7 linked regions of the Rattus norvegicus genome follow. The protein of the gene in region 6 purifies or fractionates together with the protein of the main gene of each other region. This does not show direct contact. Links are inferred from orthologs where the notes say so. Each region holds a gene or a part of one and is shown on either strand. Other genes may lie near its edges. The genes, in order: Ddx5, Paf1, Cdc37, Fkbp5, Ddx21, Cdk9 and Hsp90ab1.

Region 1 (2,518 bases), on a different chromosome or scaffold from region 6:
TGATTGCCATGGTACAGCATTGTTTCAAACTGTTCACTGTGATCTGTGGGTCTTTGAGTTTCAGTGAGTTTGCTGAAATGTCGAAGAAATATTTCCAAACTTCAATGTTCAATGAAATTTTTGTTCAAGTATGAAATGGAGAGAGCAGCTTTAAAAGGTACTAAGCCTTTTACAAATTGGTGAGTACTGGCACATGAGACCTAGAGCAGGACCAACTTCTCACACATAGTCAGTGGGAAAAGAAAGTGCCTTGAAAGTTCCTCCCTCACCTACACAGTAGTCGTCATGTCGAGACCTGCCAGAGAGAGACACATTCTCAAGTGAATCCTGGCTTCTTGGAAGCGCTTGCCTAGACGAGACACAGTGCATTAAAACAACTTTTGGGGGACAGGTATGTTTTTCTTGCAGCTGCAGTTGTAAGGTCTTGGCAAGACAAGCAGTGTGGCCAGAATTGAGTGTAAAGCAAAGGACCTTCACCTTTTTGTTTAAAGGTCCTCAAAATGAGCACACGAAGAGATTGCTGTGAAACTTTTAATTGGCCCTACTGCGCAGAAGCATTCAGATGTCACTTGATGATCTGTAAGGGGACTGTCAATTTGGGAATGTGCTAAGGAGAACACACATTCCCTTGATAGGCTGTCAGTGGGTGGGTGTTAAGACAGCTGACATGTGCTTTTTTTTTTTTTCTTGTTTTTTTTTTTTGTTTTTCCTACCCTGCCCTTTTTCTACCTCAATGGTGTTCCTACAGGAAATGGATAACCATTTTAACTGTATTTTTTTCAGCCCGTACCTTCTTGGGAATACAATTGTCTAACTTTTTATTTTTGGTCTGGCTGTTGTGGTGTGCAAAACTCCGTACATTGCTATTTTGCCACACTGCAACACCTTACAGATGTGGAAGATGTGAAATTTGTCATCAATTATGACTACCCTAACTCCTCAGAGGATTATATTCATCGAATTGGAAGAACTGCTCGCAGTACCAAAACAGGCACAGCATACACTTTCTTTACTCCCAATAACATAAAGCAAGTGAGCGACCTCATCTCTGTGCTTCGGGAAGCCAATCAAGCAATTAATCCCAAGTTGCTTCAGTTGGTCGAAGACAGAGGTTCAGGTAAGAATCTTCCATGAGAGATGTTACGGGATTGTTGACAGTCACCTCTTGTCTACGTCTACGGAGTGGGATTTAAGGACTGAGTTAGTTTTTATTTTGAAACTAAGAAATCTTAAGACCCAGCATAAATAGAGCTATCTCACACTATGCCATGGGTAAGGTGATCAATTTCTACTTATTTTCTTGACAGGTCGTTCCAGGGGTAGAGGAGGCATGAAGGATGATCGTCGTGACAGATACTCTGCAGGGAAAAGGGGTGGATTTAATACCTTTAGAGACAGGGAAAACTATGACAGAGGCTACTCTAGTCTGCTTAAGAGAGATTTTGGGGCTAAAACTCAGAATGGTGTTTACAGTGCTGCAAATTACACCAATGGGAGCTTTGGAAGTAATTTTGTATCTGCTGGCATACAGACCAGTTTTAGGACTGGTAACCCAACAGGGACTTACCAGAACGGTTATGATAGCACTCAGCAATATGGAAGTAATGTTGCAAATATGCACAATGGGATGAACCAACAGGCATATGCATATCCTGCTACCGCAGCTGCTGCGCCTATGATTGGCTATCCAATGCCAACAGGGTATTCTCAATAAGACTTTAGAAGTATATGTAAATGTCTGTTTTTCATAATTGCTCTTTATATTGTGTGTTATCAGACAAGATAGTTATTTAAGAAACATGGGAAATGCAGAAATGACTGCAGTGCAGCAGTAATTATGGTGCACTTTTTTCGCTATTTAAGTTGGATATTTCTCTACATTCCTGAAACAATTTTTAGGTTTTTTTTGTACTAGAAAATGCAGGCAGTGTTTTCACAAAAGTAACTGTACAGTGATTTCAAATACAATAAATGAAGGCAATGCATGGCCTTCCAATAAAAGATATTTGAAGACTGAATTAAGTGGAAATTGTACTTTATTTTACATATATAATGTCATGTAAAACTTGGCTTAGATAGTATGTTTTTGGGGGGATTTTTGTTTTGGTGTTTATTTTTACACAACTAAAGTTGACTACTTCCCATTCCTTGGTTTAGGAGAGGAACTCAGAAGGCCCTTTGTATGGGAAGAATTTAGAAACAATGGATTTTATAATTCTAGATTAATTGCATAAGAAGCTTTGTCAGTAGTTTTCAGTATCAGGGAAGTAAGTCGTTTAATAGCCTATTTTCCTTAAGAGTGAGCTACAGGACAGGAACTGTATATAAGTAACATGGTGACTCTTGCAGAAGTTTTAAGTGGACATTTTGCTTTATCAAATTTATTCCATCTCTTGGCTTTATTGTCAACTGCCAAAATGCACAAAGCTGAAAGACTGTTAGCCCAAGAGCTGTGCACTGTGTCCTTAGTGCAGGTTACCTTGTATTTCTAGTCCTAGCAGACTTGCCAGAGTGCTTA
Region 2 (3,079 bases), on a different chromosome or scaffold from region 6:
TAGTCTTGTCTTGTTCACTTCCCATCAGGGTTACTGACTCTGCCTGGCACTGGAAGGTGATGAGGGATATCCTCCCCAAGAGGGAGGTGAGAGCTTCCCACCCACCTGACAGCAGAGTGCAGGACGCAGGCGGCCCTACTCTGACAGGCAGGACCCTGACCCTCCCACCCTCCATCCCCCTCTGTGGTTTCACCCTACCCTGCCCACTTCTGTCCCCAGCCCCACTGGCAGAATCAGCTTTGAGTAACTGTACATTTTTCTCGCTGTTGGAGAAGACTTATTTGTTGGAGTTTCAATTGTTAATGGTCTGGGCTTATTTTGGAAAACAAAAAAACAAAAACAAAAAACAAAAAAGACTCTAATTTCTCATTTATGATGCACTTCCTGGGAAATCCAATGGGGACTTGATTTTGTGCTTCAAGTGGAGAACCTTGAGCACTGGGGTGGGGGTGGGGGTGCGAAGATGACATGAAGGGGAACAGAAGCTCTGGGAGATGAAGTCCAGAGAAGTTAGATTTATTAACAGCAAAGATTGAAGGGTAGGGACAAAGGGCTCACAAAACAGACAACTAGAAAAGTGCTTCCCTGCCCTAAGAATGGTGTCTGTGCTGACCTCATTAGAAGGTCTTGAGGCTCAGTCACTGTCACTGTCAGCCTCACTGGAATCAGAAGCTGCAGCTTCACTGCCATCTTCCTGAGCTGAGTGTTCACTACCACTGGGGAAGGGGCTGGCACTCCGGCTACGACTCCTGCTCTGGCTGCGGCTCCGCTGGCCACCACCATCACTGCCACTGTCCGAGTCATTATCACTGCCCCTGTGGGCCTGCCCTCTGTCTTCATCATCAGAGTCAGCATCATCTTCTGAATCAGCATCACTACCGAAAATCTCCTCTTTGTCCCGGGCAGCACGTGCTTCGTCCTCGCTGCTCTCATCCTCACCGCTGCCACTCTTGTCACTTGCCTCATCCCTGTCACCCTCCTCTCGATCACTCTCACTGCCAGAGCGCTCATCCTCGCTGCCTTCCTTTTCGCTGCTGCTGCCCTTCTCATGTTCCTCATCTGTGAGGAAGTAGGCACTGGTGAGATTCCATTGCCCACCCTCCCAGGGCTCCCAGGATGTGACCAGTCCTTTACCTGAGCCTCCAGCTTCTTTCTCTTCAGCCTCCATCTCCTCCTCCTCCTCTTCCTCTGGTTCGTGGTTTTCCAACTGGGCCTTGCGTGCCTCCTGGAGTCAGCAAATTGGGAAGAAGATGGAAGACTTCTAACCCTGTCCTCACTCACTACACTCCCTTTGGGTATTCTGGGACAGTAGAACTTACCTGGGCTTCTAATTCCTTCTCATTCATGTCACGGTGTTTGACCACAAGCAAGGCATTGGTACCCGACTGAACCCCAGCCTTGGCCCGGCGCTTACTGAGACGGACCCTGCAGTGGACAATTGCAGAAGGGGAGTTAGGCTCCACTGGGACCAGTCTAACTTGACACCTAGTTCCCTATCAATAATCTGACCCACAGCATACCAGAAAACAAAGTATACATACAGTGAACGTGAAAGATGGTATTACGGGTTTGATTTACCCAACTTTTAAGTTTTTTGGATTTTTCTTGTTTCAAGATTTTAAGTGAATGGGTGTTTTGCATGTTGTATGTATAGTACCCCAAGAAGCCACAAGAGGGCATCAGATTCTTTGGGCAAAACTGTCTAAGTGGGAACTGGGATACGAACTGGGGTCTTCTAGAAGAGTAGCCAGGGTTGGGGATTTAGCTCAGTGGTAGAGCGCTTGGCCCTGGGTTCGGTCCCCAGCTCCGAAAAACAGAAAAGAAAAAAAGAAAAACAAACATCCTAGAAGAGTAGCCAGTAGTTATTTGGGTTTCTGGCTTTTAAATAGAAAAGCATTGGATTGCAGCTGAATTGTAGTACTCACTAACGGTGTTGTCACTGTCTGTTTTCACATCTCCAGCCATATTGAACAGAAACTCAAACCACAGGCCCTAGGACAAGTTAGCTTTCAGCCCTCAAAAGAAAGGTTCTGAGGTAACACTCTTGAAGTTTTTGTCAACTATTTAAAACCTGAAGGCCTGGAGGAGATGGTTCAGTTGGTAAAGTGCCATGGGGGAACAGGAAAGAGTAACTTCACCCAAGTTATCCTCTAACCTCCTCATGCATGCACACAAAATAAGAGCAACAAAGGAAAGCTGATTCAATCTCTGGCTCCAGTATGTACACACATGAACAGAAAAATGACTAGGTTTACATCCTACATTGTGTGAAAATTTTCTTTGTGGTTTATAGTACTAGGAACAGAGAGCCAAGTCCAGCCTACATTTTTTTTTTTTTTTTTTTTTTGTTCTTTTTTCCGGAGCTGGGGACCGAACCCAGGGCCTTGCGCTTCCTAGGTAAGCGCTCTACCACTGAGCTAAATCCCCAGCCCCCCAGCCTACATTAATAAGCAGGGTCCTGCTGCTCTCTCAGATACATAAAACAAATATTTAGGTACAAATGACTTCAGAGTAGTTCATTCATGGTCTCAAAAAACAAAAACAAACAAAAAAACCCACAACAGTGCTGAGTACCTGGTCTCTAGCTCATTGTAGTAGACACCATCACCCTCTCTGAAGATGAAGAAGTAGTTTTCCTCGTAGCCCTTACTGGCCTTGTTCTTCACATTCCAGTTATATTCTCGAGCAATCTTGTAGTCATACCTGGGAAGAAGGTACACAGTCAGCCCATTGGTTATAGAGGAGTAAAGGAAACATACTTCTGAATTCTAAAGCCTCACTAACCCTAACCCTAACCCACTTACACATCATCTGGTGCATAGTCCATCTCTTCCTCTTGGTCCCGCTTTCGTTTTTTTAGTGTCTCTTCCACAGGCAGAAAATAAGCCACAAACTGGTTCCCTTCCTCATCCATCATGCCCCTGGTTTGGGGGAAAAGAGAGTAAAGGTCAAAAGCAAAGTAACAAAGCTGGGTGTGGTGACACATGCCTGTACATTCAACATTCCAGAGATTGAGGCAAGAGGAATGCAAGGAGCCTAGAGGTCAGCCTGGGCAACGGAACCATAACCTATGTCAAAA
Region 3 (3,970 bases), on a different chromosome or scaffold from region 6:
ATTTATTTAGCTAGCCAGGTGGTCCTGCTGTATGCCTTTAGTCCCAGCACTTAATCTTCGGAGAATGAGGCAGTCACAGCTCTGAGTTCAAGGCTATTCTCCTCTATAGAGTGAGTTTGAGGAAAGTCAAGGCTACATAGAGTAACTCTGTCTCAAAACAAACAAACAAACAAACAAATAAATATTTTTTTAAAAATTAAGGGCAGGGCTGGAGAGATGGCTCAGTGGTTAAGAGCACCGACAGCTCTTCCAGAGGTCCTGAGTTCAAATCCCAGCAACCACATGGTGGCTCACAACCATCTGGAATGGGATCTGATGCCCTCTTCTGGTGTGTCTGAAGGCAGCTACAGTGTACTTATATAAATAAATAAATCTTTAAAAAAAAATTAAGGGCAGGTCTGGTGTAGTGGTGCACACCTTTAACCCCAGCATTGGGAAGCAGAAGTAGAAAGATCTGTTCATTTGAAGACAGCCTGGTCTACATAGTGAATTCCAGGACAGCCGGAGCTATACAGTGAGACCCTGTCTGGGGAAAAAAACTATTTAAGGGCAAACATCATTAAAAAAAACTATGCGTATTAATATTTTGCCTGCAAGTATATCTGTGTACCACATGCATGCTCGGTGTGGGTGAAGGCCAGAAGGGGGCGCAATATACCCTGAGATGGACTTACCAGATAGGTACGAGCCGCCATGTAGGTGAGGGAGGACCAGCCAGTTCTCCAAACCATTGAGCCATTTCTCCAGGCTCAATTTTGACTTATTTTTTTTTTAGAATGTTTGTTTGTGTAACAACCCTTACGGTCCTAGAAATCACTCTGTAGACCAGGCTGGCCTGGATCCGCCAGATTGCGTCCCCACTGCCCAGCCAATTTTGACTTTTTGACAGTCTCAATATGTACCCTGGCTGGACTAGAACTTGTAGAGAGCCACCTGTTTTCGCCCCTAGCATACTTGGATTACCGTGGGCCACCACGCCCAACAAGACTAACCTTTTGTCTCTAAAGGATGTTCAGTCTGGTTTCGGCGGGAACTTCCAGAAGGCCGCACCACGTACTCCTGGCCCTTTAAAGATGACCTCCGGTTGCCAATGCCGCCGACTCCCGTTGCTAAGGACGAACGTCATGCGCCGACGCTGGGGCGGGGCCGTCGTGCGCGGCGCCCTGGGCGGAAGCGGAAGGGGCGGGGCGGGGCGAGCGGACTCTCTAGCCCTTGTGGGTCCCTGTTCAGCGCCCGGCCGTGTGGAGACCCGGGAGCCAGTCCGGGCCTCCGAGGCGAAGATGGTGGACTACAGCGTTTGGGATCACATCGAGGTGTCGGACGATGAGGACGAGACGCACCCCAACATAGACACGGCCAGCCTGTTCCGCTGGCGGCACCAGGTGGGGCTGTGCGCGCTCATCCCCTTCCCCCCACTCCCGGGACCCCCCGCTCTAGAGTTCTGACCTCTTAGCCAGGCCGCCTGGCGTGGGGGGCGGGGGAGACCTCAGTTCTTGACATCCAGAGCCTCCTGTTCCACAATCTAGACTTTCCCCCTTTCTTTTCTTTCTTCTTTTTTTAAAAACAAAATCTCACTGGGTAGTCTTGCCTGGCCTGGAACTTGCTATATAGAAGAGGCTGGTTTCTAACTCACGGAGATCCTCTTGCCTCTGCCTTCCCAGTGCTGAGGTTAAAGACATGTGCCATCATGCTGGGCTGGACCTTTTAATCCCAGGACTCCTGGATTCTTCATTCTAATTCTTCATCTGTATCTCCGGGCTTTCTCTCTGTGCTGTGGATCTCTTCTGTTTGTACGTTTACTTATTGTGTGTGTGTTCTTGTGTGCACGTGGCACAGCATGCAAAGGAAGATTACAGGATAACTTGCAGAAGTTGGGCCTCTCTTTTCACTTCGTTGGAACTGGGTGTGGAACTCAGGTCACCCCGAGTTGCCACAAGCACCTGTACACTGAGTCATTTTATCAGCTCTTAATACTCTTTAGTCAGAGTCTAGACCCCACCCCACCTCCGAAGCTGACCCATGTGTGTAGGGTCCCCATCATCCTTTGTGGAACCTTTTGTTCTCAGAATTCTTCCTCAGAGTCTGGACCCAGGTTTTGTTAGGTGATCTCATATCCCAGCCATGCACCCACTTCTGATTGCACATCTCCGTTCTGCCTCTCCCCACCCCCTAGAGTCTGGATCCATAAAACTTCGTTCTGATTGTGGCATCTACTTCCCAGGATCTTAGGCACGAATTTCCATTAAGGCCCAGAGACAACCCCCCGAACCCCCAACCCCCTAACTTCCAAACTAAATGAGGGCTGTGCCCTGCTCTTAATTTAATGGTCAATCTTAGTTTGCAGCTGGGATTCCCAGTCCAGGATCGATTTCCCTGGGTTATAGACCAGAGCTACACTTGGGACTTCAGTGTTAGAGCCCCCTTAGCCTCTCTATTTGACCCCCAGCTCCACTCTTGCCCATCATCCAATTCTAGTGGCTTTCCTTATTTTCACCTCCTGTAGATTCTTATTTCCCCTTACTCCAGGAAACCCCACCCACTTAACTTCCGGTCAGAACCTCTGCTCCTAGTAGTATAGTAAGTAGACCCCCATTCTGCCCACATTGGCTCCTGTATGATTTGTAGCCATCATTGAATACTCACCAAACCGGATGGTGATGACACATACTTTTAATCCCAGCTCTCAGGAAGCAGAGGCAGGCGGGCCTGTGAATTCAAGGCCAGCCTGGTCTACAGAGAGTTCCAGCACAGCTAAATAGGGGTACTCTGTTTGGAGGCATGGAGTCCAGTGGCAGGATAGGACAGAGAAAGAAAGTGGGGGAGGGGAGAAAAGGGGGAAAGGAGAAGGAAAAGACAGCTCACCCAATCCCAACCCAGAAAACCAAACCCTTCCTGTCCTACCTGCCCTTCCTCTCCAGTTTCATTGGCCTCTCGAGGGTTCATATCATTCTATTTAACTCTGCACCTCCTGGATCTTGTTCCAACATTACCTTACTTTCTGAGCATTGTAGCACACCTGTAAACTCAGGTCTTAGGAGGTGGAGGTAGAAGGATCTGGAATTCAGAGTTAATCCTTGCTATAGGGCAAATTCTAGGCTATCCTGGACTACGTGAGACCCTGTCTCAAAAACCAAATGGGCTGGAATTCAGTTGTAAGCATTGCCTTGGGCTCCATCTGGCTTAAAAGCTAGCCATGGTGGGGCAGGCCCGTAGTCTCAGCACTGAGAAGATAGAAGCAGGAGGCTCAGAAGTTCAAAGTCATCAGCCACATAGTAAGTATGAGGCTGGCACGGGCTCAGGGAATCCTGTCGATCACTAGGCAGATAAAATAAAGTCCTACACAGTTTTAAATCTGCCCATAACAGATGCCTTAGACTGAGACCGTCAGATCCCCAAGTGTGAGCAAGCCATGCTCTTCCGCCTCTCTTGTGCCAGCATTGCCTGCAGGCCCATAGTGTACTACCTAGATGTAAGGGTGGTCTGAAGATGTAGTTGAGTGGTAGAGCACTCTCTAGCATGCAGGAGGTCCTGGGTTCCATCTCTAGCACAGCAGTAAAGAGACAGTGGCCTAACCTGCCCCCCAAATTAAAGCATCTGTACCCACATACCTGTGTGTCTTTACTCTGTCTAGGTTACATTGTATTTGTGTATGTTCATGCTCATGTATGTGTAAATGTGCCACGCTACCCTGTCACAGTCAGAGGATAACTTGCTGGAATCCGTTCTCTCCACCCACGTGGGCTCGGGATCAAACTCAGGCCGTCAGGGTTGGTAGCAGGCCTTCACCCACTGAGCTCTCTCATCAGCCCTGTGCTTGTTACACTCCCAGGCTGCTGGCAGGTACTCTGCAGTTAGCATTCCACCTTCCTGAGGAAAGCTTCTCCTCTTTACTCCTCGAAAGTCCTTCCCTATCCTCCCCAAATCCAGCAGTCAGCTCTAGTCCCACCTACACACCTATTCCTTCCAGTTT
Region 4 (4,131 bases), on a different chromosome or scaffold from region 6:
GGAGGACCCCTGTCTTAGACAGGGGTCTTTACACCAGTTTTGTCTTTTCCACAGTCGTCTTGGAGGATAGGGAAAGAAGGACCATATGATCACCCACATGGTGACATTTAGACATTTGATATATATCACCATACACGGGGGCATTTATCTTCCTGAGTTCTAAAGTGTGACAATACAAATTAAACCAAAACTAAAACAAAAAGCAGACGTGGAACCAGGAAACATGGATTCTCACATGGCTACAAGACATTTCATAGGCAATTGGGACTTTTACTCCCAGAGAGAGAGAGAGAGAGAGAGAGAGAGAGAGAGAGAGAGAGAGAGTGTGTGTGTGTGTGTGTGTGTGTCTGGAGAGATCCCTAGCTGTTATGAGCACTGGCACTTGCTGGTTGCTTTCCCAGCCTCTGGGAGAGCACAGGATGCTTACAACTCCAGTGACAGGGGATCCGACGCCCTCTTCTGGGCACTGCACTCACAGGATACACACACACACACACACACACACACACACACACACACACACACACACACAGACACACCCTCCTTAGGCAAAACACTCATCACAAACGTTCTTCTAAAAATCTTTTAAGAAACCAACAGTTAGAGCTGAAGTCCCAAGGTGCAGCATCTGAGCGTCTGAGGAGTCACCCAGAGGTGGCGAGTTGGTGGGGGAAGGGGTGCCATCTTGAAGCTGAACTTGGCTCAACAGCCCATCCTTTGGGTTCTTTTCTGACCTCATTACCTGCTGTGTTGCAGAGGCAGAGATCCCAAGGGAAAGCGTGGTCTTCACGCCCACTGGGTGTCCAGAGAGAGGTGCTAGATCGGATTCTTCCCAGTCTCTAAAGGAGCATCTTTAAGTTCATGAGGTTATTTTCCCGGGGTCAGCATGGCCTGACCTCTGCGGCCTCGTGAAGGACGGGCTGGGTAGACAGACGGACGAGGTAGGCGCTTGTCTGGTCCGTATTCTGTCTGGAGGCAAACGAGAAGAGGTATCAGTCAGCTTCCTCCATCCCTCCTCTCCGGCCCCCACAAAGGGCAAGGGCCAGACACGTGGGCCGCGGTGAAGAGGCGGGGATGCAAACGAACGGGGCGGAGGCTCATTTGCATAGACAGTGCGCGGCCACCAATCAGGACCGGCGGAGCGGTAGCCCGCGCGCCTTTTGGGGGCGGATTGACAGCCCCGCGGCCCTATGGGAGGCGGGTCCTGCGGCCGGCGGGGGCGGGACGACGGCGGGCGCTGCCCGGCGCACTAGCCGGCTTGCGGGCGCTGCCAGTCTCCGGCGGCGGTGTCCGGCGCGCGGCTGAGCGAGCGAGCGAGCGTGCGGACGGAGCGGCGGCCTGCTGGGCGGGCTGAGCGGCGCGCGCGGCGGAGAGACGCGAAGCGAGGGACGCAGTGGCGGCGGCGGCGGCGGCGACAGGTACGGGCGCCATTGGCCGCGGGGATGGTGCGCGCGCGCGCGCGGCGGACCCGGGAGCCGGCCCCGTGCTCGCGGTCCCGCTTCTGCCGCCCCTAGCGCGGCTTCCCTGGGGTGGCGTGGACGGGGCGTGCGGGAGGCCTGGGCCCCGCGTGGGTGGCGGAGCGGCCGGCGCCCCTCACCAGCGTCCCCCTCAGCGCGGCGCCGGCTCTCTCGCCCGCGCGCGGCTTTTGTTTCCCGCGCAGCCCACAGGTCCGGGGAGCCCCGTGTCGCTCCGCCACGCCGCCCTCCGGACGCGGAGGAAACTTGGCCTTCCGGAGCCCTGCGAGCCTCGCGGATAACGGAGCGCCTCGCCGCGTCCGCGGGGCCGCGCGATGGGCGTGCCGGCCGGGCACCGCCCTCACCTGCCGCTCCCGAGCCGGCTCGCACCAGGCAGGCAGGTGACCCGAGGGCCTCGGAGGTCCGGAGGAGGAAGGGCCAATTAAAAGTTGCTGTTCGGGCCTCTGAGGTGGCTGAGCGGGTACCGGCGCTTGCAGCCAAGCGTGACACGACATGGGTTCGATCCCCGGAACTGACATGGTGGGTAAGGCGAACCGACTCCCGCGAGTTGTCCTCTGACCTCCACGTGTACACAACACAAACACACACCTCTGACTCTGATGCACACGCTCATCTCTCACCACCCCACCCCCTCTCAATAATACTAAGGAAATAAAAGTTATTTTAGGAGTCTTCATTCCCTTCGGCCCAGCGATTATCACCACTCCTGTTCCGGCCATAGTGCATGACTCCAAACGCAGCATTTTGTGTGTGTTGGAGGGATGAATCTAAGGGAGCCCAATGCATTGTGATCATCTTCCTCCTCCTCATCTTCGCCTGTGGATGAGCCAGGTGGGGCGCTTGCGCCTCGTTTTTTAAATCATTGGTGTCTGCAACCGTGGCGAACGCGTTGGAAGAAGGTACAGATCGTAAGCAGAGCGTGCAGAACTTGGGACAGCCCTCGGCGGGGCTCGGGACAGTGTGTACAGCGCTTGGCCGCCATTCAGTAAATTCTGCATGCGGCAGTTGGGAGCTGGTGGTTTGGGGATTTTTTTTTTTTTCCCTTTCAGGAGTGTGTATTCCAGAGAACTAGGGCTGGGCGTCGAATGGGCGCTTTCTTTGCTTTCTCTAGGGGTGGGAGAGAGTGTCTGTTTCCATTGTCTCTATTTTCACAGGGTTGTGAACAAGGGAAGGGTTAAGGTGTGCTTGGGTTAAGTGTTTTGCCTCTTCCTTCCCACTTCTTGCTGTTAGCTTTATGTGTTGTTGTTACAAAATTGTAGCTTTTCCTCGTGGTGTCTGAATCAATTCAAGAAATGACTTGGGGGAGAAAAATCTTATTCTGGTGGGACATTCTTACCCTGTAATACTTTCACTTAACTGTTTTCTGTTACTCTCCAACCTGTTCCTCATTTGCCCAACATGCTTTGTGTGTGTGTGTGTGTGTGTGTGTGTGTGTGTGTGTGTGTGTTTGTGTGTGTACGCGTGCGCGGTATTTTTTGTTTTGTTTGGTATTTGAAATATCAAAGTTTTATTCCTTTGTTACTGGGAGTTTACTATTCCATTAAAACATACATAAAGTTCTGTAACCTAACACTCTTTTTTAACAGCTTTCACTTTGGGGGGTTCTACAGAAATGGGGTGCTTTAGCTGTTTTTAAGTACAAAGGTTAATAGTAATATTGTTTGTTAGAAACACTCCAATTAGTGTTCTCCCCTTTGTCTTCTGATGTGTCATGTGTGGTAACTGCCTTGGATATAATCTATACTTCAGAGATGTTGAACTTCAGAGCACAGTTAATTTTTATTTAATTACACTAATTAATTGAACAATCATTTTATTCATCTAGCTAATTTGAGTTAGCTATTAGTTGGGACCACTTGAGATTATTATTATTATTTTTTAATTTTGCTTCGTTTTTTGAGACAGGCTTTCTCTGTGTAGCACTGGCTGTCCTGGAACTCACTCGGGAGACCAGGCTGTCCTTCATCTCAGAGATTCCCCCTGCCTCTACCTCCCAGAGCTGGGACTAAAGGTGTTCACCACCACTGCCCAGCCACTTGAGGTAATTTTAAGTTAATCCAGGAATATTTTCTGCAAATTGTTTTAACACAATAGATTCATTAGTGGGGCTTTTGTCATTCCAACATTTAACAAAAGGATGTTTCTCTAGTCACTTTTTAGATTTTATCTTTCGGTCAGTGTTTGTGAGAGAACTTGGCACAGGTGTGGTTGTCAGAGAACAGCTTTGGAGTTTTCCTCTTGCCGTGTGTGGGTCCTGGACTTCCAGTTCCGGTGGTTTGGTTTGTAGGCTCTTTCCTCCGCTGAGCAGTATCACCAGCCAGCATTTCTTTTTAAAGACAGTTTAAACCACCTCAACATGAAAAGCCTAGGGTTCGGGATTGGGCAAGTCAGTTACTTTTTTTTTTTGTTTTTAAAGATTTATTTATTTATTATATATAAATACACTGTAGCTGTCTTCAGATACACCAGAAGAGGGTATCAGATCTCTTTACAGATGGTTGTGAGCCACCATGTGGTTGCTGGGAATTGAACTCATGACCTCTGGAAGAGCAGTCGGGTGCTCTTACCGCTGAGCCATCTCTCCAGCCCCAGTTACTTTTGAAGATTTTCTTTATTCTTGGGCTGGAAAAGAATGTGTATTGTGTCGTTAGTTCCT
Region 5 (3,500 bases), on a different chromosome or scaffold from region 6:
AGCAAAGACGCAATCAGGTACGGTCTTTACCACCACCAAGGTCTGTGTTGGTGCTGCTTCTTGAACCTTCAGTGTGTCTTGTTTTAGTGCTTATGAGGAGTTAATACGGGACTGGGGAGATGGGTCAGGTTAAGGGCACTGGCTGCTCTTCCAGAGGTCCTGAGTTCAATTCCCAGCAGCCACATGGTGGCTGATAACCATGATGACCCTGGATTTGGTAGGAAGTTGGTTTCTACTGAAGCACATAGTTCGAATGGGTAATAAGTAGCAAGGGGGTCCACAGGCAAAGGAAGTGCTAGGAGAGCTTGAGAGCCTTCCCAAACCGTATTTTTAAGTTGATTTTATCGTAGCACATTTTCCATAAGAGCCCTGAGATGGGGTACTGTGAAGAACTAATTAACTAGTTCAGGAAATATGGGCTTGGTGACCAGGAAGGAGAGGCCCATTCCAGTAGTGGGAAGAGATATCATGTGGAATGTCAGCCCGTTGCCAGTACAGCTCACCTGACTTGGCAAAGCGACATGCTGATTTGTTGTGGCTGAGACCATGGCCAGCCTCCAGCAAGTACAGTGTTCTGAGACCTCATGTGGAGCACTTTGGGAAAATGTGAAACTGGCTGTGCTTTTGTCTGCTTCTAAAAGTAGCACAGTCTTACTAGTGATCACTGTTTTCTTTGAGTTAAATACTTTATATTCTCTCATTTAAAGGCCAAATGTGGGCCGGGCATGGTGACACGTGTCTGGAATCCCAGCAGGAGGATAGCCATGAGTTAGAGACCATCCTGCTCTGCGTGGCAGGTTCCAGGCAGATGTGTTAAAGTCTTATCCCACAGGGCACAATGAAGGCACTATGGAGCGATCGTGTCCTGTATCCCGAGAGTACTGGAACTCATGCTAGTAGAAGGCCTTGAACTTCAGGCCCTCCTGCCTCCACCTCCTCAGTGCTGGGAATGTGGCATCGCCTCTAGCTTATGAAGTGCTAGGAATTGAACCCGGGACCTCTTCGTGCTGGTGTGGCCACACCCTAGCGTGCTGATGCCCATTCCTAAGCTCATTTCTTCTGTTACTGAGGTGTTCTTCGTCTTAGCCTCTGAAAAGTTCCCTCTCACACACAGGCTCTTGGATTCTGTGCCTCCCACTGCTATTGGCCATTTCAAGCAGTCGGCTGAGAAGCTGATCGAGGAGAAGGGAGCTGTAGAGGCCCTGGCCGCAGCTCTGGCCCACATCTCGGGGGCCACATCGGTGGACCAGCGCTCCCTAATCAACTCACAAGCGGTAAGGTTTGGGCACTTTATAAGGCGGATTAAGCAAACTAGAAGAGTTCATTTGAACTTCCTGATTGACTTCCCCCTTCTTTAGGTAGGAAGGCACTGGCTGTGTTTCGCCATTTTCCTAATTAAAACCAAAGTCAATGGGGCAGAATAGATGAGTGTTTCCCAGGGGTAGATTGGAAGGAGAAACAACACTAACTACTATGGGTAATAGTTTACTTCAATTTTTTTTTTTTTTTATTTTTAAATGAAGGGTCAGTGAAACTCAGCAGGAATGAGCCATCTCTCCAGCCCGAGAACAGATTTCTGAACCTGATCCCTGGCCTCTACACAGACAAATAAGAGAATTAAAGTATGCTAAAATTATAGCTGAGTGAGGTTGTGCCCGCCTATAATCCCAGCACTCAGGAGGCTGGAGATTATGGATTTCTGTGAGTTCGAGGCCAGCCTAGTGGAACAGGCAGGGCTACACAGAGAAAGCCTGTCTCAAACAAACAAAGAAAACAAGTGATAAAACTGAGTTAAAATGCACTGACTTGAAGGCTGCAGTGGTGAGTTCCTTTGACACATTGAATTCCATGTGCCTATTGATTGTAGCCCCACGTGGCATAAGAAGTACAATGGCGATCACTTCCCTGTGCTCAACCAGTCCCCTCCAGTGCAGATCCTTTAGAAAGCTAAGGACTGGGTGCTGACATTGGTACTCCCAACAGTCTTCTAGGACTGCCCCAGCACTATGGCTGGGAGGTGAGCTCTCCGGGAGAGATTCTCTGGAAAGCCTTCCCTCCCCACCCAGAGCAGAGCTTATGGTGCCGATTGGTTTCCAAGTTTCTGCGCCTTTCTCCCCTAAGGGCTTTGTGACCATGATCCTGCGGTGTTCTGTTGAGATGCCCAACATTAGTTATGCCTGGAAAGAACTTAAGGAGCAGCTGGGTGAGAGCATCGATGCCAAAGTGAAGGGGATGGTCTTCCTCAAAGGAAAACTGGTGAGTGCCAGCCTCCAGGACCCTCATCTTACCCCGGAGGTTAGCCGGATGACCGGGGTGTGTCCTCTCCCTGCTTGGTGGGGTGATGCATCTCCTTCCTCTTCACAGTCATCCTCAGTGCTGTCCCCAGCCTAAGCTGCACACAGTGCCTGACCCCAGCACCCAGCTGCTTCCCTGCCATCACCATAAAGTAGCTTACGTCACTTCGAGATTTTGAGTTCAAGTTTGAAACTACTTTTGAAGTTTGAAGGCTACTTTTTTTTAAAAGATATTTATTTATTATCTATGAGTACACTGTAGCTGTTTTCAGACACCCCAGAAGAGGGCATCAGATATCATTACAGATGGTTGTGAGCCAGCATGTGGTTGCTGGGAATTGAACTCAGGACCTCTGGAACAGCAGTCAGTGTTCTTAACCTTCGAGCCATCTCTCCCGCCCGGAAACTTAAAGTTACTTAGCACCCAAAATGTTAAGGTATCGCTAACTTTATGGGAAAATGAGAATAAAAAGGTCAGATAAGTATTATTGGAGATATGGTCACACAGACATACATGTACACATGGATGCACATGGAAAAAATCCCAGAGCCTAGTATTAGGTAAAGGTGTTTGCGGGGTGGGTAATGCCTGATCAGGGAAACCATGAACCATCTTCCAAAAGCTGAGGGTAAACTTGTATCAGCCACCCTGTAGCACCCTGTAGGGCAGGATACCGAACACTCTGTACCTTATTCCCAGTGGAAGCTGACCTTGGTTACTGTCATAGGCTTTCATTGCCGTGAAAAGACACCGTGACCAATGCAACTTTTATATAAAGGTGAACATTTAATTGGGGCTGCTTACAGTCCATTATCTTCATGGTGGGAACTGTGCAGTGTGGGGGCAGACTTGGTGCTGGAGGAGCCGAGAGTTCTAAATCTTGATCCAAAGGCAGCCAGGAGGAGAGTTTTTCTTCTGCACTGGGAGGAGCTTGAGCATTTGGAGACCTCAAAGACACTTTGTCCAACATGGCCATCCCTCCTAATAGTGCCACTTCCCATGGAGCAATCATATTCAAACGACCACAGCTGCTTACAGAGTCTTCCACTCCACTGTTCTTTAAGCCTGAGCTCAGACTCTCAGTGCAGTTTCCTAGTCCTCAACCTGTATGGCGGAGTTCTTGGGGCATCACCCTGGTGTGATTGCTTACAATGGACGTCCTCAAGCCTGTGACCTACTCGGGCAACACCTCTAGACACCTGAAT
Region 6 (3,935 bases):
CATTTCAAAAACGCGCAGGAGTGCCTGTTCAATTTTAACCATTTTTGGGATGATTGACGCAGGACAGACCAGCTTAGCCGCAGCTCTGTGAAGGAAGGCAGTAGATCCATCCTTGCCTTCCTGACCACACAGGATCCAGGGTTTAGGCCTGAGCGTCGCCGCGCCCCCTGGCGGCCGTCAGTTGCCATGTCAACGGCGGGTGGCTGAGACGGCGGAGGCGGCAGCGGGGGCAGTTCTCTCTTCCCCGGGCCTCAGGCCGCTCCCTCGGCACCTCCTGCCTTCGCCTCACTGGGAGCACACTCCCAGCCCTGGAAGAAGGGCCCTTCTGTGGCAGCTGGCATTAGGGGGGTAAACTGAGGCACGCAGCAGGGCGCCGCAGGCAGGTGTCTAGTGCGGAGCCCCACCTCCAAACGCAGAGGAGGGGCTGCTAGCAGTGACGCGCCGAGGGCGGACGCTGGACTGGGAGCGGGAGGGCGGGAGGCGGCGGCGGCAGGTGCGGCCGCGGAGGGTGGGAGGAGGAGGGAGGGGGCGGGAGGGGGAGGGGAGGCCAGGACGGGGACCTCCCCCTTTATAACGCGCCCCCTCCCGGGCTCTCGGGCCGCCTCCTCGTCTGCTCTTGCTATCTCGCCCCCTTTCCTGGCCGCCCCGGGCCGGGTTTGGCCAGGGAGCCCCCGCCCCCAGGCCTTCCCCACACCCCCACCCGTCGCCCCGCGCAGCCCGGCGGAGGCGGCGCCGTCGGAGGAGGAGGAGCAGGGCACTGCGGCTGGCCCCGGATCGGGAGCCAGAGCGGCAGCAGCTTCGGCAGCAGCACGGCCCGGGCCAATGCAGCGGGACGCACCGCCACGAGCCCCAGCCCCAGCGCCACGGCTCCCTGCGCCCCCGATCGGGGCCGCCAACAGCACTAGCGGCGGCGGCGCAGGCGGGGGCAGTGGCGGCGGCGGAGGCTCCTCTGCAGCTCCGGCTCCCCCTGGCCTCCCGGGAACTACAAGTCCCAGGGGGCCTGGCGGCGGGCGGAGACCGGAAGAGGCGGGCTCGGCACCTCGAGGCCGGAAGTGGCCTTGGAGGCGGAAGTGGCGCGGCCGCGGAGGGGCCTGGAGTGTGGCGGGACCGGGAGCGGCGGGAGCTGCGGCTGGGGGCGGCGGCGGCGGCGGCGGCGGCGGCGGCGCGCTGGAGGCGGCCATGGCCAAGCAGTACGACTCAGTGGAATGCCCGTTTTGCGATGAGGTCACCAAGTACGAGAAACTTGCCAAGATCGGCCAAGGCACATTCGGGTAAGATTAGGCCGCGTGGGACCGGTAGCCCAGGACCTGCACTTTCCATGGCCTATATCGGGTCGTTCAGGGCCGGGGCCCGAGGTGGTACGGAAGCTTCTATTTCCTTGATTGTTGCCTGGTCTTGCTAGGCCGCGCCGCAGACGCTCCCGGCCTAACCGAGCGGACTGGCAGGGAGGAGCCTGAGGCCCGTGATGGGGGTTGGGTAGGGTTGCTGAGAGGAACTCAGTTTGTGAGCGGACACCTCTGGGGGGAGGAGTGGGAGCCGAGTAGGAGTAAGAGCAGGGGCTGGGAGAAGGACAGAAAACACGTGGTGTGGAATAACAGCTTACAGGAGTCCCGGGCCGCACCCCACCGTGTGTCTGGTCTCCCGCTGCTCCTCTTCGCGTGGGGGAGGGGCGGTCCCTGCGGAAATGCCTGATGGGTCCCTCGGGTCTTTGTGTTGCAGGGAAGTATTTAAAGCCAAGCACCGTCAGACCGGCCAGAAGGTGGCTCTGAAGAAAGTGTTGATGGAGAATGAGAAGGAGGGGGTGAGTATATGGACCACTGGGCAGTTCTTCTAACCTGTGCTCGGTTTCCACACTGCTACTTAAAAGGGTTTTGTGCTGAGATTCCACCCAAGTATTTTTCGATTTTCCGTGTGACAAGACATTTGGCTTTCCACTTAGACTTTTGAGTTTTTGTGGCAAAGTTCGGTGGGAGGCAAGTGAGGGAGCCTGTGCTTTGCGTGAAAGTGCACGTTGCCTCTAGAAGTGGGGTTTTTGAAAACTTCCAGCTTAGCGTCGAATTTTGTTTTGTACGAAGGGACAATTTGTGCACAGGCAATTTAAAAGGCAGCTTAGCTTAAGGCGTGTTTTGAAGCATGATGTCCCCGTCTTAGCTTTAGTACAGCGTTTTCTTTGTAAGGAAAAAGCTGTTTGACTATTTCCTGTCTATGCGTGTCTTGTTTTCTGGTGTGGCTGTGTACAGCATGCCTGTCTGGTACCTGGGCACCTGAGGAGACCATGCTAGGCTGCCTTGGATCACTTGGGACTAGAATTAAAAAGATCCACCATGTAGAGGCTGGGATTGAACCTAGGTCCTCCGGAAGAACAGCCAGTGTTGTATGTGTGTGTGCATGCATATGTGTATGTCTCCCTGAAATAGGGACTCAACATAAGACTTGTTTAATACAAAAATCTCTCAGTATCCCAGCTGTTCTCAGACTCGCAGAGGGTCAACTGCCTGTGCCCGGAGTGCTGGGAATAAAGGCTTGGGCTGCCACTCTTAGCCAGGACTGGTTTGCTTAACTATTCATCTATCTCTGGACCCAGGGAATTTCTTGATTTTAACCCACAAGCATTAGTGCCAAAGATTTTGTCCCTATTTGAGTTGTCTAAAATAAATTCCTGGCCCAGCGTAGAGGGCTATGATTGTAGTTCCAGCATTTACGAGGCCAAAGAAAAAGGATGGTTCACAAGTCCAAAGCCGCCATTGTCTAGATGGCAAAATCTAGCAGCTCCTTGAGTGAGATGTGTGTGTCCTTTCACTTACCTTCTGCTTTACAGAGACTGGTTGCAGATAAATATATTTATTTTCCCCTCAAGCAAGAGCTCAACTAACCAGACTGGCCTTGAACTTGGGACAGTTCTACTCTCTATTTGACTCCTGATAGTAGGATTGGATTCCAGACAGGAACCGTCTGTCACACAAAAACTATACTCTTACCTGCCTTTCAACCTCTGTCCCTCAGTATAGATCACACACACACACACACACACACACACACACACACACACACACACTTTTACTTCATGGGTCTGTTGCTCTCAATTTTGACCACTTCCTCTCTTTCTCCTCCCTAGTTCCCCATCACAGCCTTGCGGGAAATCAAGATTCTACAGCTCCTAAAGCACGAGAATGTGGTCAACCTGATTGAGATTTGTCGAACCAAAGGTACGATGCTCGTTCTCGGGATAAAATGAACCTTAAACCTTTGCTTGCACTCCTGAGGTAAATGTGCTTAATGCCTCCTCCTGACTTGACTTGATCACACAGCTTCCCGATCTGTTTTGTTTTGAGACAGGGTTGCCCTGTGTAGCCCTGGCTGTCCTTGACCTTGCTCCATAGACCAGGCTAGCCTCACACTGCCTCTGCCTCCCTAGTGCTAGGGCTAAAGGCATGCACCACCAGTGACTGACCACCAGCTTCTCCGGGCTTTCTCCGATGGAGTTGGGTGTTTGTGGATTGGAGGGCTGGGAGTTGGCTGTGGAAAATGAGGTGGGTGCAGGTTTTTTATTTTCCCTCCCACCCTCTCTCCCTATTCTGCACCAGCTTCACCCTATAACCGCTGCAAAGGCAGCATCTATCTGGTGTTCGACTTCTGTGAGCATGACCTCGCTGGGCTGCTGAGCAATGTCTTAGTGAAGTTCACGTTGTCTGAGATCAAGAGAGTAATGCAGATGCTGCTGAATGGCCTCTACTACATCCACAGGAACAAGGTGAGGCCTGGGGCCGGGACAGACTGGGGCTTCTTTGCTCTTCACTGCCTTGTGGGTGGGTCTCTGGGATACTATGAGACCTGACCGAGCTCTCATGCGTCCTCCCTGCAGATCCTGCACAGGGACATGAAGGCTGCCAACGTGCTCATTACCCGAGATGGGGTCCTAAAGCTGGCAGATTTTG
Region 7 (4,091 bases), on a different chromosome or scaffold from region 6:
AAAACACTGGTGCAACTTGGTTCTGGCTCCTGGAACCCGGCCAACCTGTGACCAGCATCTTCATGCGGATACCTTAGAGCTCTCGTTAATCTGCAAAGACCGTGACCTCCTCCTCTCTAGGTTCAAAGAGCTGCAGTAGGGAAGAGGGCTAGCTAGAAAAGCGAAACCAGCTTGAGAAACAGCTTGTGCTCGCAAAGGGAAGGCACATGTCCCCGCGCGCCTTGTACGTGGGCGACCCGGGAGGCTGAGGGTTGGGGAGTGTTCTACCCAGTAGCGTTCGGTTTCCCGTCTCTGTTCACAGAAAGGTGTCCGCAGTCACTCACCCCCACAGCCCCCGTGCCCTGTGACCGATCCAGGTCAGCCATCCCTCCCCCCTCTGCGCTCCACACCTCCACAGTAATGTGGGCCTTCCAGGGCCACGAGTCGTACAAACGTAGCCCATGGTACAGAGACTTGGGGAAAATATTTCCCCAGGTTAAGATCGTGGCAGAGAAAAAGAACCAGCCGAAAGGCGATGAAGACACAGCCCCCGCCGCAGCAGGGGAGGTGGAGCCTCGGGGGGAGGGGTTGAGACCGCCGAGACAGGCCTAGAAACTGCTGGAAGAAATCGAAGCACCGCCACTGCTGCTCCTTCCGCCACAGGCCGCCAAAGAGTCCCTGCTAGCCCAGGCCCGCGCCCCTCCCCTCGGAGAAGCTGCTCCCCGCCTGCCGCTTCGCTGTACCGGGGAGGGTGGGGATCAGGGACTCCTTAAAGTTGGACAACGAATTTCTTATCATCCTTTTCTCTCGATGTGCGATTTGTAGGGAACATTCTAGTAAGATCGGGTCTGAAAATGGCAGCCGAATTGGTCACCTCCGTTCTCTTTCAGAAGTCCCTTGAGGACTGGACTCTTGAGGGTGGGAGCGCCTACATCGAATTTTCTGCGCGAGTCCGTGGGGTATTCGCCGCAGATACATCCCCTAATAGCATATGCATGCTCCCTGGCCATCTTGAGGGCTACATGTCCTACTCATGCAGAAATGAGGGTACCAAACGCTATTGAATTGGCCTTGACTCGCAGCCCAGGCCCGGGGTCCCGCTCTTCCCCGCCCCCTCCCCGGTCTGCGAGCATGACGTCAAGGTGGGCGGGCGGTGGCAGGTGCGTGGCTGGCAGCCACTCCTTTAAGGCGGAGGGATCCAAGGGCGGGGCTAGGGCTGTGCTTCGCCTTATATAGGGCGGTCGGGGGCGTTTGGGAGCTCTCTTGAGTCACCCCCGCGCAGCCTAGGCTTGCCGTGCGAGTCGGACGTGGTCCGGGCCCACCCTGCTCTGTACTACTACTCGGCTTTCTCGTCAAGGTAAGGCCGCGCTCTCCTGTACTTGGCGGCTCCGTGGGTCTTCTTCCTGGGGTCTCCGCCAACATCTCATCTGAACTAAAGGCTCCTTGTTGGGCTGGGCGGTCTGCGGGGATAATGTGCCTAGAATGTCTCCAGTGGCTCATGGTGGACCCCGGCGGGCTTGCACCGCGAGGCTCCCCCGGGGCCGGTGGATTCCCCAGAGCGTGAGGTGGGGGTGCGGCCGGGCCAGGTGGTGGGCGGCCGCACGTGGTAGCCGCCGACCCGGGACGCTGCCATGTTTGCCCTCCACTTCCGGGCGCGGCTGCAGGGTCCATAGGGTCCGCGCGGTGGCGGGCTGCTATGTGCATGACTCAGCAAGACGAGGTTGGCCTGGCTACCTCCCCCGGACGCGTTTCCCAACGTGTTTTGTTCTGGGGAGGGGTACAAGGGTTGGCAGGAACGCTTGAACCCACTGCGTTTGTCCCTTTCCAGATCTTTCTGCTGCCCTCCCCGTGGAGTGGGAGGAGAAACGGGGAGGGAGCAGGTACGGGGAGATTCTTAGGTCCCTCCCTTACTCCTCCCCTCCCGGGAGCTCAGATTGTTCTGGAAGCCTCGGGCGCCCCGCCCCAGTGCCCGGATGCTGGGGCGGTGGGAGGGCTACAGTGGCGCCCCCTCCCCGTGAGTCTCCTGGCGACGCATGTCCGGGTCGCCGGACGGCTGGGCCACCATTTTACTTGTGTTTGGGCCTATGCAAGTCTGCACAGTTCAGCGTTCATGGTGGAGCTTTTTACCTCTTTGTCCTGATTTAATTGCCCTTTGAGTCCTTCCAGAACTATAGCTTCGGGTTTTCTTGCCCTGCCGAGGGGAAGAGCACAAATCCGTTTACGGGAGGCTGCTCTTTCTGTTAAAGTTGATACTTAACCCCAGTGAAGAATGAAGAAGAAATTGGGGATCTTATTGTATAGTTAACTCAGTCTGGATTTTTACTATATCGGCAGGTGTTCTGTTCTGAGTCAGGGAGCTGAACTCTTAATATGCCGTTCAAAAAGTCTGACATTTGGACATTAGTTTGAAGAGCCATCCTTTGGGTTTTTTTCCATTCTTGATTTGTCTTGCCACTGTAGCTTTAAGGTCTTTCTTTTATTTCTTTCTTTTTTTAAACAAATGGCGGTTCTAGTCTTGGGAATGGGTACTACCCAGATTAAAGAAGTTTGAACTGAACTTTTAATAAGACTTTCATTCTTAGATGCCTGAGGAAGTGCACCATGGAGAGGAAGAGGTGGAGACCTTCGCCTTTCAGGCAGAAATTGCCCAGCTGATGTCCCTCATCATCAACACTTTCTACTCAAACAAAGAGATTTTCCTCCGGGAGTTGATCTCTAATGCTTCTGATGTGAGTGTTCTGTTGAATTTCTAAGACGCCACAGAAGAGTGTGAGTGAGTGAGTGAGTGTGAGAGAGAGAGAGAGAGAGAGAGAAGCAGGGAGTGATTAGAGTAATCCAGCAGTTGATGAGAAGGAACTGTTTGGATAAATGGAATAAGTGGCTGTGTACGTGTACATTACAGGCCCTGGACAAGATTCGGTATGAGAGCCTGACTGACCCTTCCAAGTTGGACAGCGGGAAAGAGCTGAAGATTGACATCATCCCCAACCCTCAGGAACGCACGCTGACTTTGGTGGACACAGGCATTGGCATGACCAAGGCTGACCTCATAAATAACTTGGGAACCATTGCTAAGTCTGGTACAAAGGCGTTCATGGAGGCTCTCCAGGTGCGTGTGTGGCCTTCCACCCATGCCATTCTCAATTTGTTACTGCTTCTGGCTTGCTAATTTAAAACTTGTCAGACTAGGATGTGTGGTCTGTCTTTCTAATAAGTACTTGTGGCCTAGATTCTGGAAGTTGAACTGATTACTACACTTGCTCAGCAAGCGGTTGTGCTTGTACAAGAACAGTTTTGCTCACTCTCTTACAACCCTTTGCAGGCTGGTGCAGACATCTCCATGATTGGGCAGTTTGGTGTCGGCTTCTACTCTGCCTACCTGGTGGCAGAGAAAGTGGTTGTGATCACGAAGCACAACGATGATGAGCAGTATGCCTGGGAGTCTTCTGCTGGTGGATCCTTCACTGTCCGTGCAGACCACGGTGAGATGGCAGTCTACGTTGGGTTGGTAGAATTCTCTGGGGGAAAGCCAGAAAGAAGCAGCCTTAATAGTTACTGTACTCTATAAAAGTACATTTTTGAGGGGTGAATGGCAGCACTTGGGACATGGCATACACGGGTGGTGGGTGAGTTGAGGCAAGCCAGGGCTGTGCAGAAACAGATCGCTTGAGAAACCAGGAACAAAAAAGAGGTGTACCTGTTTGTTGAGTATTTTAGTTGCAGTTTTTCATGTCTGGTTCACTCTCTGTAGGTGAGCCCATTGGCCGGGGTACCAAAGTGATCCTTCACCTCAAAGAAGACCAGACAGAGTACTTAGAGGAGAGGAGGGTCAAGGAGGTGGTGAAGAAACACTCACAGTTCATAGGCTACCCCATCACCCTCTATCTGGAGAAGGAACGCGAGAAGGAGATCAGTGATGATGAGGCAGAGGAAGAGAAAGGGGAGAAGGAGGAGGAAGATAAGGAGGATGAGGAGAAGCCTAAGATTGAGGATGTGGGATCTGATGAGGAGGATGACAGCGGCAAAGATAAGAAAAAGAAAACAAAGAAGATCAAGGAGAAGTACATTGACCAGGAAGAGCTGAATAAGACGAAGCCCATCTGGACCAGAAA

The links.
Region 1: the proteins of Cdk9 (region 6) and Ddx5 purify together in Homo sapiens (affinity purification with western blotting; 3 studies listed by BioGRID, with this or other methods). This does not show direct contact. The link is inferred for Rattus norvegicus from reciprocal best matches to the Homo sapiens genes CDK9 and DDX5.
Region 2: the proteins of Cdk9 (region 6) and Paf1 purify together in Homo sapiens (affinity purification with western blotting; 3 studies listed by BioGRID and IntAct, with this or other methods). This does not show direct contact. The link is inferred for Rattus norvegicus from reciprocal best matches to the Homo sapiens genes CDK9 and PAF1.
Region 3: the proteins of Cdk9 (region 6) and Cdc37 purify together in Homo sapiens (affinity purification with mass spectrometry; 9 studies listed by BioGRID and IntAct, counting the BioPlex papers as one, with this or other methods). This does not show direct contact. The link is inferred for Rattus norvegicus from reciprocal best matches to the Homo sapiens genes CDK9 and CDC37.
Region 4: the proteins of Cdk9 (region 6) and Fkbp5 purify together in Homo sapiens (affinity purification with mass spectrometry; 10 studies listed by BioGRID and IntAct, counting the BioPlex papers as one, with this or other methods). This does not show direct contact. The link is inferred for Rattus norvegicus from reciprocal best matches to the Homo sapiens genes CDK9 and FKBP5.
Region 5: the proteins of Cdk9 (region 6) and Ddx21 purify together in Homo sapiens (affinity purification with mass spectrometry; 3 studies listed by BioGRID and IntAct, with this or other methods). This does not show direct contact. The link is inferred for Rattus norvegicus from reciprocal best matches to the Homo sapiens genes CDK9 and DDX21.
Region 7: the proteins of Cdk9 (region 6) and Hsp90ab1 purify together in Homo sapiens (affinity purification with mass spectrometry; 6 studies listed by BioGRID and IntAct, counting the BioPlex papers as one, with this or other methods). This does not show direct contact. The link is inferred for Rattus norvegicus from reciprocal best matches to the Homo sapiens genes CDK9 and HSP90AB1.

The regions. Positions count from the first base shown.
Region 1 is NC_086028.1:92,223,893-92,226,410, reverse strand, and holds the end of Ddx5 (probable ATP-dependent RNA helicase DDX5), read left to right. Parts: intron 1-826; exon of another isoform or gene 827-892; coding exon 893-1,117; intron 1,118-1,307; coding exon 1,308-1,714; 3' UTR 1,715-2,018; downstream 2,019-2,518. UniProt on the Homo sapiens protein: Involved in the alternative regulation of pre-mRNA splicing; its RNA helicase activity is necessary for increasing tau exon 10 inclusion and occurs in a RBM4-dependent manner. Binds to the tau pre-mRNA in the stem-loop region downstream of exon 10.
Region 2 is NC_086019.1:92,814,197-92,817,275, reverse strand, and holds the end of Paf1 (RNA polymerase II-associated factor 1 homolog), read right to left. Parts: intron 2,922-3,079; coding exon 2,805-2,921; intron 2,704-2,804; coding exon 2,575-2,703; intron 1,426-2,574; coding exon 1,320-1,425; intron 1,226-1,319; coding exon 1,135-1,225; coding exon of another isoform or gene 1,060-1,134; coding exon 635-1,059; 3' UTR 501-634; downstream 1-500. UniProt on the Homo sapiens protein: Component of the PAF1 complex (PAF1C) which has multiple functions during transcription by RNA polymerase II and is implicated in regulation of development and maintenance of embryonic stem cell pluripotency.
Region 3 is NC_086026.1:27,964,131-27,968,100, reverse strand, and holds the start of Cdc37 (hsp90 co-chaperone Cdc37), read left to right. Parts: upstream 1-1,170; 5' UTR 1,171-1,280; coding exon 1,281-1,382; intron 1,383-3,970. UniProt on the Homo sapiens protein: Co-chaperone that binds to numerous kinases and promotes their interaction with the Hsp90 complex, resulting in stabilization and promotion of their activity. Inhibits HSP90AA1 ATPase activity.
Region 4 is NC_086038.1:6,540,756-6,544,886, reverse strand, and holds the start of Fkbp5 (peptidyl-prolyl cis-trans isomerase FKBP5), read left to right. Parts: upstream 1-1,331; 5' UTR 1,332-1,418; intron 1,419-1,469; exon of another isoform or gene 1,470-1,967; coding exon of another isoform or gene 1,968-1,994; intron 1,995-4,131. UniProt on the Homo sapiens protein: Immunophilin protein with PPIase and co-chaperone activities. Component of unligated steroid receptors heterocomplexes through interaction with heat-shock protein 90 (HSP90).
Region 5 is NC_086038.1:31,080,239-31,083,738, reverse strand, and holds part of Ddx21 (nucleolar RNA helicase 2), read left to right. Parts: coding exon 1-17; intron 18-1,114; coding exon 1,115-1,274; intron 1,275-2,121; coding exon 2,122-2,256; intron 2,257-3,500.
Region 6 is NC_086021.1:36,396,217-36,400,151, reverse strand, and holds the start of Cdk9 (cyclin-dependent kinase 9), read left to right. Parts: upstream 1-1,135; 5' UTR 1,136-1,179; coding exon 1,180-1,271; intron 1,272-1,719; coding exon 1,720-1,801; intron 1,802-3,115; coding exon 3,116-3,206; intron 3,207-3,584; coding exon 3,585-3,751; intron 3,752-3,862; coding exon 3,863-3,935. UniProt on the Homo sapiens protein: Protein kinase involved in the regulation of transcription.
Region 7 is NC_086027.1:22,929,132-22,933,222, forward strand, and holds the start of Hsp90ab1 (heat shock protein HSP 90-beta), read left to right. Parts: upstream 1-1,291; 5' UTR 1,292-1,336; intron 1,337-2,561; coding exon 2,562-2,708; intron 2,709-2,881; coding exon 2,882-3,088; intron 3,089-3,301; coding exon 3,302-3,461; intron 3,462-3,730; coding exon 3,731-4,091. UniProt on the Homo sapiens protein: Molecular chaperone that promotes the maturation, structural maintenance and proper regulation of specific target proteins involved for instance in cell cycle control and signal transduction. Undergoes a functional cycle linked to its ATPase activity.